Linked DNA regions of Mus musculus: all the other regions are reported to be linked to region 2. Evidence: microRNA targets listed by miRTarBase, many of them from high-throughput screens and not tested one by one. Region 2 holds a microRNA gene; each other region holds the end of a gene's coding sequence. Distances are between the middles of the regions.

What was found. The annotated mature microRNA mmu-miR-15a-5p reads UAGCAGCACAUAAUGGUUUGUG and lies in region 2 at 1,650-1,671, opposite strand. An mRNA with a match to its seed (bases 2 to 7 or 8) in the 3' UTR can be bound and repressed. Matches are read on the target gene's strand: a 7mer-m8 pairs with bases 2 to 8, a 7mer-A1 pairs with bases 2 to 7 and ends in A, and an 8mer does both.
Region 1: miRTarBase lists Zcchc24 as a target of mmu-miR-15a-5p. Seed matches in the 3' UTR shown: 7mer-m8 at 2,367-2,373.
Region 3: miRTarBase lists Akap9 as a target of mmu-miR-15a-5p. Seed matches in the 3' UTR shown: 7mer-m8 at 3,270-3,276.

What each region holds. Positions count from the first base shown.
Region 1 is chr14:25,711,618-25,715,933 of GRCm38, reverse strand. It overlaps Zcchc24 (zinc finger, CCHC domain containing 24), which reads left to right. Exons shown (of 4, transcript NM_001101433.2): 4 at 532-4,290. The coding sequence ends at 645. Among named protein-coding and RNA genes, the nearest start is that of Ppifos, 12 kb to the right of the region's middle.
Region 2 is chr14:61,630,426-61,634,741 of GRCm38, forward strand. Mir15a (microRNA 15a) reads right to left here and starts at 1,685; the gene lies at 1,602-1,685. Dleu2 (deleted in lymphocytic leukemia, 2) reads right to left here. Exons shown (of 7, transcript NR_028264.1): 4 at 2,012-2,058. It overlaps Mir16-1 (microRNA 16-1), which reads right to left and starts at 1,547; the gene lies at 1,455-1,547.
Region 3 is chr5:4,078,960-4,083,275 of GRCm38, reverse strand. Akap9 (A kinase (PRKA) anchor protein (yotiao) 9) reads right to left here. Exons shown (of 48, transcript NM_194462.2): 48 at 3,072-3,617. The coding sequence ends at 3,580. Cyp51 (cytochrome P450, family 51) reads left to right here. Exons shown (of 10, transcript NM_020010.2): 10 at 1-2,602. The coding sequence ends at 151. Among named protein-coding and RNA genes, the nearest start is that of Gm40260, 3.9 kb to the right of the region's middle.

The sequences.
Region 1 (4,316 bases), 36 Mb from region 2:
AAACGAGTTCATGTAGTCATTCGATAAATGGGCAGGCACTAAGCCAGGAATTGGCTGGGGTTGACCCCAGACCCCAGATTGGCTTTATGGAACTAAGAGCCCTGTTGTCTCTGGGGCTGAAATGTAGCTATGTCCAGGGTAAGTGACTCCCAAAGCCACTGGATTGAAGGGACAGATGTGAGTTGGGGCTTCTCTTGACTGAGACTCAGTTTCTTCATCTGGTAGATGCCTTTGCACCCCTGTCCTGAATTTACTCTGGGCTAGATTTGGGAGGTTTCTAATCTGCATTCAGGGGGCAGTTGCCCAGACCTCTCTGTGGATCAAGCAACGTATCTGCCATGGGCTCTGGGTCTAAGAACCCTGCCTTGGTTCTTGCCAGCCCAGAAATTTCATCTGAGCCTCCTCTGGGACACAAGTGTCTGCAAACAGGCAAGAGGTGGGATGCCAAGGCACTGGCTGAGCTATCTCTGTAACTGCAGATTCTCTCCCCCCCCCCCCCGCCCCTCGGCCCCTTCCTCTCCTTCTCTGCAGAGACCCCTGGAGAAGCCTGACGGCCTGGATGTGTCTGACCAGAGCAAGGAGCACCCTCAGCACCTCTGCGAAAAGTGCAAGGTCCTGGGCTACTACTGTCGCCGTGTGCAGTGATCTTGGCCACCACTGTAGCACCCCTCAGCTGCCACCTCCCTGTGTTGCCCAAAGGGCTGAATGTCCGCATGCTTGAGGAGATGTCACGGGCCTGTGGGTTTAAGCAGAGGAGGCGTGTGTCCTTGTCTCACATGCTGGCAGAGTAGCTGACATGCTCCCAACAGGGTGCAGAGACAGGAGGCTCAGGGTCTCTTCACCATAGGCCTGGGCTCTGTAGAAGGACAGAGGCCAGCAGAGGTCTCGATGTTCTTGAAAGCTCTCATCCTGAGTGTCTTTGGAGGCTGAGCGACCCTGCATCTGCCACAAGTACACTAAATGAACTGTGAATCCTGAGGCCTGAGGGAAGTTCTCCCTCCAAGACCAACCAGGCCCTGTCCCACCCAGCACCTTGCAGCTTGCCTCGTATGAAAAACCACTCTAGAAAGTCCCAAGTCATTCCTGATCTGTAGCCACAGTGGACAGTCACTTCTTCTAGCAGCTACTGAGGAGTGGCCCTCTGTCCCTGCCCACACTGAGTCCTTAATCTCACCAGCCCTGACATCACTGCACTGTACCTGGTAGCTAAACACAGCCTCCCTCTGCCAATGAGACAGGCAAGAGGGTGAGGCAATGGAGACATCGAACAGTAACCAGTGTGCCAAGACATCCTAGGGACATGAGGCATCACCACTTCCCATGACCTCCCCCAGACTGTCCTGTAGGCTTGGGTTCTGTCACCTGCTCTCTCTCTTGACCCTTAGCCTCCCACCCATGACCGGGATGCCACCCCACAAAAGCCGTAAGACTGTTCTGGCATGAAGGAGGGGGGCCTTGGCAGTCTGGAGCCGCTTTCTGCCACTTGGGGCAAGGACATCTCATCCCCAGCCTTAGTCTCCCCATTAGTTAAATGACAAAGTGGCACCAGAAAACAAGAGGTCCCAGTGACCTCTGAACTTCTAGAAGAGAGCTGGCTGCCTCTGGAACAGAGTGTCACTAGGGGTCGGGGGTGGGGGGAGATTTGTCTCTAAACATCTAGGTGCCCCGCCCTCCAGCCTCTGTCCTGATAGCCACTTAAGATGTCCTCTCCTATAGCCCTCCTTACCTGATTGATGTCCCCATCCCCTGAGAAGACGAAAGAGGACCCCTCCTCCTCTTTCTCCTCAGCCCCCCAACACTGGGCAAGCCTAAAATGAGCCACAGAACCTCTCCTTTGGAAACTGAGGATAGAGATTTCCTACTTCCTAAGGAGGCAGAGAGATTACCTGGCATGTCACATGGTCGCAGGGTGGCTGTTGTCCTGGCCAGGGTCAGCAGTGTGCCCCCTACCCTGTGACAAGCCACACCTCTCTGGTCTTTCTCCTCTTCACCAGCTGCCAGGACTGACTTTCTTGACTCATACTATGCTTCTATGGAGAGAGAGAGGGAAAAAAAATCAGACCATGAAATCGGCCTGAAATTCAGTGTTTACATATGGTGCCCAGTTGCCTTTTGTTTTCAAATGAAAATGTTTTGTATGACTGACGTGAAGTGTTAAGCAAGGGTCCAGGGGGTAAGTGGAAGAGATGGTTGTATGTCTGCAGCAGCTAGCTGCAGGGTAGATTTTGGGAGAACATACTCTCTGAGCACTTAACAAAGGTATTATCTGTGGCAGCCCAGACTATTAGCTGCCACCGTGCTGCCCTCGAGTGGTAGCATGCTGGGCTGCAGACGGTGAGCATCCAGCACCAAGGACTCTCCAGTCTTGCTGCTGCACTAAGGCTGCCCCATGCCAAGCTTCCTGTTGCTAGGAAAGGGATTTTTTTCTTTTTGGCATCCCACTGGGACTCTAAAGAGGGTGTCATGGCAATAAACAGTGCACCTGTGTCCCAAATGAGGACAAATTGGAAATAGGTAATTTGGGTCAAAAATGCAAAGAGCTAGCGACAGTTTTCAGAAAGCCAGGGCCAGTAGAAGGTGAGCTATCAGCCTAAAAGGACCGTTTCGGTCACTAGACTGATGTCTGTGTACAGCCAGGCCCCCCGATCACCCGTCCTGCTGAACGTGTGATCTTCCTGAAGCTAGCAAAAGATGCCACTGTCAAGGCTGGGTGCCGGGAGAGTCAATGTTCAGAGGGCCTACGAGCCCAGGGGACAGGAAAGCGTGTGGTTGTAATACACTCAAAAGGGACAATCGCTTGCAGTCGGTAGATCTAGTGATCTAGTTGAGAGAGAATGGTGTTTACCCCATATGAAGTATTCAATAGCTCTTCTTGTTAATTTCTATTTATTTTGAGTTATACTTGACACAGAATTCTTTCTTTTTTTTAAAAAAATGCTATGTGTGTATTTTGGGAAAAAATTCATAGATGTTAAAATTTCTGCATGGTTACCAGTTTTTCTTTGGACATGGAACTTGGTAGCCTTCCCCCAGCCCCCAAATTCTTCATAATGATTTTTGTTTGTATATATTTGAGGGTCTTTTTTTTAAAAAGAAAAGAAAAGAAAAATATGATGGCTTGATACTATTAAAATGGAAAACAACAGAAAGGCATGCGTTTAAATGTCAGTGCTTTTGAAAGCGCAATCCATATCAAACTGATTTTTAGATGTATTTTGCAAGTCTGGTTGAGCTATAAGAAGATATTTATGGTGAGAACTTTTCCTTTTTTTCTTGTTATTTTTTCTATGCTTTGGTCTGTAAAAAGTATGCAAGTGAACTAGATTAAGGAGGAAATATTATCTACATAGAATTATTATATGACGCTGGTACATAATTCTAACGAGGAAAAAAATCTTTGCAATCTTTTAAGCTATGGTTTTTTTTTATTAATTTTGTTTTCCTTGGATGAAAATATCAGTATTAAGCAGCCAGTATATTATTCAAGTGTTTAGACTTATTAATATGCTCTTGTCCTGTATTTATACATTTGTGTATTTTGGAAGTATTGCCTTTTTAAGGGAAGTTATCAGTGGGCAACACGGTAAAAAGGGAACAGCGATCCTTTGTGCCTCTTCCAATGAAGATGACAGGTGGCATGGAATCTTTCCCCCTGCATCTTTGTGTCATTGCCTTGTTTCTACAGTTTTATTACTTTTTAGGAGAAGGGTGGGGAACTGACAAACGAAGAGGACTCATCGAACAAACAGACCCTTTGGTCTGTGAGCCCAGTGGCCTTGTCAGCAGGACCCAAGGAGGTACAAGGACCCCGGAGGAGGTTCCAGGCCTGCCTGGAAGCCCCATGCTCTTTGATCTTGGATCTGTCCACTAAGCCCTCACACCTGCCCCCTAGCTCTAATGGACTTGAATTTACTTTAAAGTCTAATCCAACCTCACTACAGTGTAGCCAGTGCAAAAACTAATACTGAAATGAGGGGTGTTTGCAGCCCTCTGGGAAGTGGAAATGAGGCTTATCCCCTGCTTCATGGCCAACTTCCCTGTACCAACTCCTGCAGCCCTGTGTGGTGACCCTGTCTGTGTCTGTATCTGTCTATGTGTGTGCACTCAGCTAAAAAGACAAACAGAGCCCGTGAGCCCCGCCTTGAGGGTACATGGAGAAAGTTCCTCCCCTCCCCGAAAGGGACGGCCTCGGGGTGGCATTCCGTTGTGTGCCTTATTCCTGGAGACTATATAAAGCTTGCCTATGAAAATATAGCCTTTCTGTGCTGTATTAAAAGGACTTTGGAAAGATGGAGGCTCGTGAGTTTGTATATGGG
Region 2 (4,316 bases):
AAAAAAAAAGAACATTTCCTTTGAAATAATTAAAATATTCTGAATATATTTATAAAATTAATGACTGTTAGCTTTAATCTGAAGTTAAATATTAAGGCACAGATGAGATGTCTTTCATACTTTTGACTTATAAAAATCTCCTGTTAAACATTTTAGTGAAAAATAAGAAAAACAGTAATTATTAAGTTAGAAGATATAGGATTTATACCCTAATATGTCATAGGTTGCAAATTAAATTTCAGATTGTTTCCTCAGTTAACCAATAAAAAGGTCAGCTATTCTAAGGATTCTTCTAAATTTAAGTTTAAAAATTCAACGTACACATTTTAGTGTTATTCTCCTTCATTTAAAATGAAATATTTAGGCACATTATACTCAAGATTATGTTATAATCTGTAGCATTTCAAACTTTATCTGTATCTAAAGAAAACTTCAAATCAAGAGAAAAGTATTTTTCTATTATAAGTAATAATATGAGTTTAAATTCATGTACAATTTGGTACTTCCTAAACTCTTTCAAATAAACTTTTATATGGAAATGCTGGAAAGAGAGCTCGAGCCTTGGTGGTACTGGGTATATTCTGTACCACTGTAGCTCTCAAGAAACTCTGGAAAGGTGTTCAAGACTTAAAAATACTTGTTATATTATTAGTCAGTGCTCCATCTGTGGATCCAACCAACCACACATTCAAAACATTTGGGTGGCCAGGCATTGGGGCCTACAGTTTTAAACAAAGAATTTGGGAGGCGGAGGCAAGAGGATCTCAGTGAGTTTCATGGCAGCCTGGTCTACATGGTGAGACCCAGGCTCAAAAGACCAAACCAAAAAACTTATTTCTTGGACAAAAACTGCATTAGTACTGAATTGTACAGTTTTTTTCTCATCATTAAGAGAATAACTTGAATAATACAACTATCCATGTTAACATCCCACTGCACTACACATTAAAAACAATGTAGAGATAAGTTTAAATAAGTATAAGGGAGGATATGCACTGGTCACGAGCAGACATTTTATACAGGAGATCCAAGCATTTACAAATCTGGGTATCTAGAAGTCCTATAATCAGTTCCTCACACAGAAGTCATTATGTTTTGTTTGTTTTTAAAAGACAGATCCTTACATAGGTCTTAGACTTGCTTTATGGCCAAGGATGATGTTAAGCCTCTAATTCTCTTTTTTCCACTTCCTCAGATCTAGGATTACAAGTGTACCTGGTATGCAGTGGTAAGGCTAAAACCCATGGCCTTGTGCATGCTAGCAAGAAGCACTTGGCCAACTGAGCTGCATTACCATCCCACAATTATATAGTATTTTAACAGACACAATATGTAGAGCGTTGTTACTAACATCATTACAGAATCATACCAAACATAAAATCACTAATGCAATTAGAAAAACCGTGTAAACACACAAGTAACATCAATACACATTGAATTACAGTTGTAGAGTATTGCCAACCTTACTTCAGCAGCACAGTCAATACTGGAGGTAATTTCAGAATCTTAACGCCAATATTTACGTGCTGCTAAGGCACCGCTGACATTGCTATCATAGGAGCTATGAATAAAAAGACAGGTACTCTCTTCAGAAGATCAGGTCCTTGTATTTTGAGGCAGCACAGTATGGCCTGCACCTTTTCAACATCCACAAACCATTATGTGCTGCTACTTTACTCCAAGGGTTGGTTTTGAAAACTCCTAGCACCTCAATAGTAATTTACAGAAAAGGCTTTTTAGGAAAAAGTAGAACACATAAAATCTATGTTTGAAAAAAATCTAACACTGGTATGTGCATAATTTTATAGGCTTTCAGCAGAATAAAAAGTATTTCCATATCATAAGTTTAATAAAAGCGTACAGAAAACTTAATACAGTGCTGTAATTTATTGTAGTCATGAAACGAGAAAAGCAAGTCATTTTCCCATACCAACTTAAGAACCTCATTTATTAAACTAACAACTTTTGAATGTGCTTAACACATGAAATAGCTACAAAAGTTGGTTTTTACCTTATTAAGAGCAGCACATCTTTCAAAGCCAAATCCATAGGACAAAGCTTCATGTTAAAGGAAACATGTAAGAACAAACATGTAAGAGCTCAGTTTCAAGAAATTTATACTAGCAAAATATTTAGAAGACATACACATGAAACATATTCCCCAAAAATATATAACCCCCAATCTACACATGAACACAAGATTTATCTCAATATTGGAATAGTTATTGTGAGTTCAGTGTCATTTATTATTACCCAGAACATCATCTTAGGATAACAGGTCTATTTGGTTTCCTAAAAGGATATATCAGAAATCCTGTAGCTCAAGCCTAAGTAACCATTTGTGTGTTTCCCAGTTAAAAAGGCTAGTCCTTTAAAGGAGTATCATTTTATACCACAGGACTTTGACTTAGCTGAAACAAAATTTTTACTACGTTAAGTTCCAACTTCATTTTATGTGTGTGTGAATATCTAGGTTTTCTTACACTATTAAGAAGACTCTTTTCTGTTTAGTGGGGGACTTAGCCATCCCTTCACAAAGAACTGTTCTTATTATTCCAGTTCATACCAGATTTTCCATTCAAACTAGATTACTGTGTAGCAAATGTTTTCTAGTGGGTCAATGCCATTTCTCCATTCCCGTTCATGTTGGGTCATTTGAAATATCAAAACGTCTTTAAATCTTCAAACCTTTGCTTTCAAGTGTGCCAGCTTAAAAAAAAAAAGTCTGAAAATAAAGATAAAAGCTGCTAAAAGTGATTTTGTCCTTTATCTTTATACAATGATTATAATTTCAAATTCAGTGGTTTTTTGAGAGAGGTTTTGAGGACAGTGGCTGCTGTCCTGCAATTCATTCTATAGACCAGGCTGGACTGGAACTCAGAGATCTATCTGCCTGGTTTCCCTCCTGCATGCTAGGATTAAAGGCGTGCACCATCATGCCCCGTTCCAAATTCAGTGGTTTATATTCTGGCCTAAGGACCAAAATAATTTTTCTTTGTTGGGTTTTTACATAGTTCAACTTTTTACTAATGTTCTTAAAAGGAAAAAAAAGCCATTCTGAAAAGAAAACAAAATGTTTTGCTTAAGAAGGTAACTTGAGTGTACATAGGAATACATGGCAATCTTTAAATACCTGAAATTAATATTATTCGTATAAGAAAACAGAATTTTACAACAATTTAAGAAGATAGATCAAACCAAATTGTCCTATTTCCCCCTTCAACTCTATTTGTTTCCATTAATATTTTTCTTTAGAAACATTTACTTTTTACCTTATAAAACTTCTAATATTAATTCATCTTGTTTCCATAAAGCTTAGCACTTCACAAACATTTATAGGCATGTTGCCCAAGCTATATCATCATCTTGACTGCATCAGAATAATGGGATACTTTTTGAATTTAATAATAAGCAACCAGTAATTTGTTGGAGCACAATGACAGAATACAGAATCTGAGGTCCGAACCCTGACACTGTCCTTTGAGTGTCTCCCATGGCTGTTATTCTAGTACACTGACCCTTTCTGGTTCCCTATCTGCAAATGAACCATTAACATACATATAAGCCTTTGTAGGACGCTTCTGAACCATAGCCATCTTATGAAGTTGTCTAAGAACATGGAGAAAACACTACCAGGTTTAAGTTCTGATGACAGAGCAACAATTCTCAGGGCACAAAAAATCTACTTAAATAGCAAAGCTAAAGGCATGAAATACTGCAACAAATTTGGGAAGTTAAAAGCTGGGTATGTTAATATCTTTGATGTGGCAATAATGCCACTATAAAATCTTTGGAACTGTTTCTTCTCTAAACATTTTAAATTCCTAGTTCTAAAATTTGATATGTGAAAAGTGACAGAATCATTTGTAGGGCATACTACTAAATAGTTAAAAATTCCATTTCCATGTGATTTTTTTCTAGGAAAATGAGCTTATGTAACATATTTGAAAAAGAAATTGTTCTAACAACAACAACAACAACAACAACAACAACAACAACAACAACAACATACCCAAATTTTATTTAATGGCTATGAAAGGAAAACTAAACTGATTGTTTAGGCCAAGTCAGGTATGGTGATCACTGACAACTGAATATGTATTTCAATTTGCTCATTTTTTACATGGAAATTTTTGAAATTCAAGTTGCAAGGCTGCAGAGTTACTCAGTGGTTAAGAGCATTTTGTTGCTGTAAAAGACCCAGGTTCAGTTCCCAGCACCCACATGGAGCCTAAGCACTTCCTCCAGCACGCACTGCAGACATACACGAAGGCAGAACACTCATACTTTAAAAAGCTCAAATTTCAGAACAGAAG
Region 3 (4,316 bases), not on the chromosome of region 2:
TGCCTATGTTCAAATTAAGACAATTTGGTCGACTATGCTTCGTTTATATGAATTTGACCTCATCAATGGATATTTTCCCACTGTGAATTATACAACAATGATCCACACCCCAGAAAACCCAGTAATCCGTTACAAACGACGATCAAAATGAGAAGAGGAACAAGAAGCCAGTGTGGAGAGAGGACCGCAAGCCGCAGCTGGCAAAGAATGAAGCCTCTGAGAAGCTCTCGTGCTGTACTGGGTTGAAGAGTGTGGTTCTGAGAGCCAGTTTATGATTTTAATGTTTTATTAACTCGGTGATTTTTGTCAGACCGAATGGCATTTGAAACAGTTTATAGTAGTTTTGATAGGATTTCAGGGAAGCCAAGTTTATGTTAGAAATCATTTGGGGGGGTGTGTCTTGGAATTAAGAAGATATAGAATGCAGCATCCAGGTAATTAACTCCACACATTGCCACAGGGAGATTTGGAACTGGTGTTTGAAGTTTCAAAGCCTTGTCAAATGCTACAAAGGTAATGGGGTCGTGTAGTTGGGCCACTTCTGTGCGTAAAGATATGAAAGGATAAAGGTTAAGTTTACTGCGAAGCTTGAGGTGGAAGTAAACGCTACTTAGATGGTGTGGTGTGTCCTTTGAAATGTTAACTGGAGCACCGCTCCTGGAAGATGGCAGCGATCTTGAACCTTGCCTTGATAACCTTAATTCCTAAAAGTAATAAAATCTAAAGAGTGCTTATGTATGTTACTGGTCCCAAATGGTCACAGTTTTGTGAAAAATCCAAAATCAAATCCTTGTAAGACTTTTTTATTTTAATTTGGCTTAAGGTTTTTTGTTGTTGTTGGGAAGTTTAAATTTACCAGGCTTTTAAAAGTGTCTGATTTTGAGATTAGTGAGTTCTGGCCTTGAGACTGGGGAATGGGAGATGGTATCATTGCCCGTATTCTGTGCTCAGGAGACAACCTAACAGATTGTAACCACGGACCCAACTCTGTGACATGCCCTTAATCTGTGTTAGGAGTAAGAATAGCTCTGTTGCTGGAGTGGTGCTGCACACCTGTAATGCTGTTATTCAGGACCTGCGGCAGGATTGAGAATTTGAGGCCAACCTAGGCTACGGAGCAAGACTAACACACTCCCCAAAATAAAACCTCTTTTCTCTAAAAGTATGTGTACTGGCTGGTCTTAGGCACTTGACACAAGCTAGGGTCATCAGAGAGAAAAGGAAGCCTCAGTTGAGGAAATGCCTCCATGAGATCCAGCTGTAAGGCATTTTCTTAATAAGTGATCAATGGGAGAGGCTCCAGCCCACTGTGGTGGTTCCATCCCTACGCTAGTGATCCTATGAAAGGCTGACCGTGACATGAGGAGCAAAACAGTAAGCAGCACTCATTTATGGCCTCTGCATCAGCTCCTGCCTCCAGGTTCCTGACCTGCTTGAGTTCCTGTCCTCACTTGATGATAAACAGTGATATGGAAGTGTAAGCCAAATAACCCACCTTCACCCTCGGGATTTGCTTTTTGGTCATGGTGTTTCCTTGTAGCAAGAGGAACTGAAACTCCGTTACAGTTTTAAGAGGCTTTTGAAGACTCCCAGTGAAGGCCTAAATCTCTGCTGTTAAAGGCTCCACATTAAAATTCTCTGAGAAAGTTTTACTGGTTTGTATTCATGAATTTGAACTTGTGCTTCAGTAAGTACAGTTCATGAAATCTGGGCATATGGAAGCTTACATCCTATTTGCCTGAAATAGGTTCCTTTTAGTATTATCTTTGGTTATTTAGGTAAGTCACTCTTGTTATCAATGCCCCATGAGAAATCAGGTATTTTCATAACAAGTTACAAAAGTTGCTCACCTCTCAAAAGTGTGCTTGTCTCTTACTGAGTGGTTGTTAGACTTTTAGGTCATAGATGTTACATTTGACGTGTTAGGTTAAAACCTTGATTAAAGTTTGAAGACTGTTTGTTTCTAAGTAACAGATTTTCTTTGCCAGTGTAGATGTTTTGTGTTTATTATTCCTAGAGGGGTTCTAGACTTTGATCAAGTCCCTCCTTTTACTGTGTGGTTGTTAAGACTTTTAAGTCATAGACGTGTTAGGTTAAAACCTTGATTAAAGTTTGATGATTGTTTCTAAGTAACAGATTTTCTTTGCCAATGTAGATGTTTTGTCTTTATTATTCCTAGAGGGGTTCTAGACTTTGATCAGATTGGTAGATTCCTGGCAGAGTTGTGACTTGAGTAAGGCTGTCCTGTTTACTGTCTAGTTTTAGACTTTGACATATTTTCAGTGCTGAGATTTAAAAGGGCTCAAGCACTAGAATTCCAGATTGAGATACTGACCACAGACGAGCTATTAAGTTATTGTGAACAACACAGCAGAGGCTGAGGGCCATAGGGTGTTAGTAGGGTAGACTAGCAGTAGGGTAGATTGGCTGGCAAGCACCTGTCCATCTGCCTTTTCCCGACTGAACTGTCTTGACTTGGCAACTGTATTAGTTTTTTAAAGAGTTTAATGCACAACTTTCCTGCTCAACTAGTTGCTTTAGAATAGTTTTGATATTTTTAGAAAGCCTAGTTGAAATTTGGGAAATAAAATTAGAAATTCCCAGCAATGCACAGCTTTGTGATTGTCTTCATGTAGTGCAGAGACCATTAATAGTGAAACACTCTTTTCCAGATGTAAACCAATACCACAGCTATTTTAGTCAGTGCAGTGCTAGTAGGGAGCCCTCTGGAGAACAGTATTCTCTCTGAGACTTTTCCAATTAGAATTTGGCTGGCTTAGCAGGACGCTTCCTGATTTTTGCTACACTCTTATGGATACAATTTAATATTGAGAGCTGATTTCTGCGTCTAGATTTGTAAGTCTCTTTGGACATAAGAACACGAAATGTAATAAAACATGGACTAATCATAAACACCAGTGCCACCTTAGTGTTGAAAACAGGCACATTAAGAATGTTCTTTAATGAAGGCAGAGCAAAACCACACTTTGGATCCTGAGCTGAGACAAGTAACAAGATGATAGGGACCACGAGTTGTGGCTTAGTGAAAAATCAAGAAGGTTCAACTACAGTAAGGTGAAAATGGTGAGGTCTTTTTATTTCAGTACTTGACAAAATACCCATAAAGTTCAAAACTTTGACCATTATACAAAAATAGGTCTCTACAAGTGATATGTTGTCTTCATCACCAGTAGCAAATATATTAAGCAGAAACATGTAACTTCAGTAGCTTTGTAAGAAAAGCGCAGGGCACCGCAAGGTACTCGTCCAGCAGCACTGTCATTTGAAAAAGTTTAATCTTTTCACCCACCTGATAAATACACAAAGTTTATAATTTAATCACTTAAATTAGCATTCCACAAATATACATGTAATTTAATGATTACTGTGCATGAACACACACACATTGCTTATATACACAAACTCCAGTTTGTCTTCATGTGCTGCTGCTAAGGATTTGTATACAATCATAAGCTGTGCATGTATTGGTCCCATCGAATATTCACAATACAAAAGCACAAAAGAGCCATTGATTTACAAAAGGGAATCTATTTAATATTCAATTAATGTTTCAACGGATTATCTCCTCATGCCAAAGTGAAATTGAGTAGTGGACCCTGTAAAATAGAAAACAAAGCAATTAGACTTTGCCTATATAATGGCATCCAGCTGACATGGGCAGATGGATCTGTTTAACACCATCTCAAAATGTTGGGGGCCCGTGACATTTTTCAGTGGTCAAGGTGCTGCCAAGCCCAACAATCTCTGAGTTTGATTCCTGGAACCCACATAGTGGAAGGAAAACCAATATGCAAATTTTCTCATTGCTACAGCATGGTTGTGCACACACATACACAAATGAAACCTGAAGGTAAATGAAACCTGAAGGTAAAACTTATTTTTTAAGTAATAATGTATGGTGTGTGTGTGTGTGTGTGTACGTACACATGTTTGTGTGAGTGCAGCACAGAATGCCCTAATTCACTGGATCCTGTAGAGATGGAGGTACAGGCAGTTATGAGCTGCCTGAGACGCAGTGTTGGGAACCACAAGTAGGTCTCTAGACAACAGTTTGTTGTTTCTCACCCAAAGCCATCTTCAGCCCTCAGCTTAACTATAGCTCCAAGAGGCTGACTATATTTAGAGGTTACCTTGACTGCCCTATAGCAAGGGAAGCGAGAGAGAATGCTGATGTATTTCATGAGCACTCTTAAGGTTGCTTGAATGAAAAGCTAAACTACCTCTAAACAACTGCAGTCGGCAGTATGTGGTATTAAAAAGAGTCCTTAAAAATGACCAGGGACTGACGAGATGGT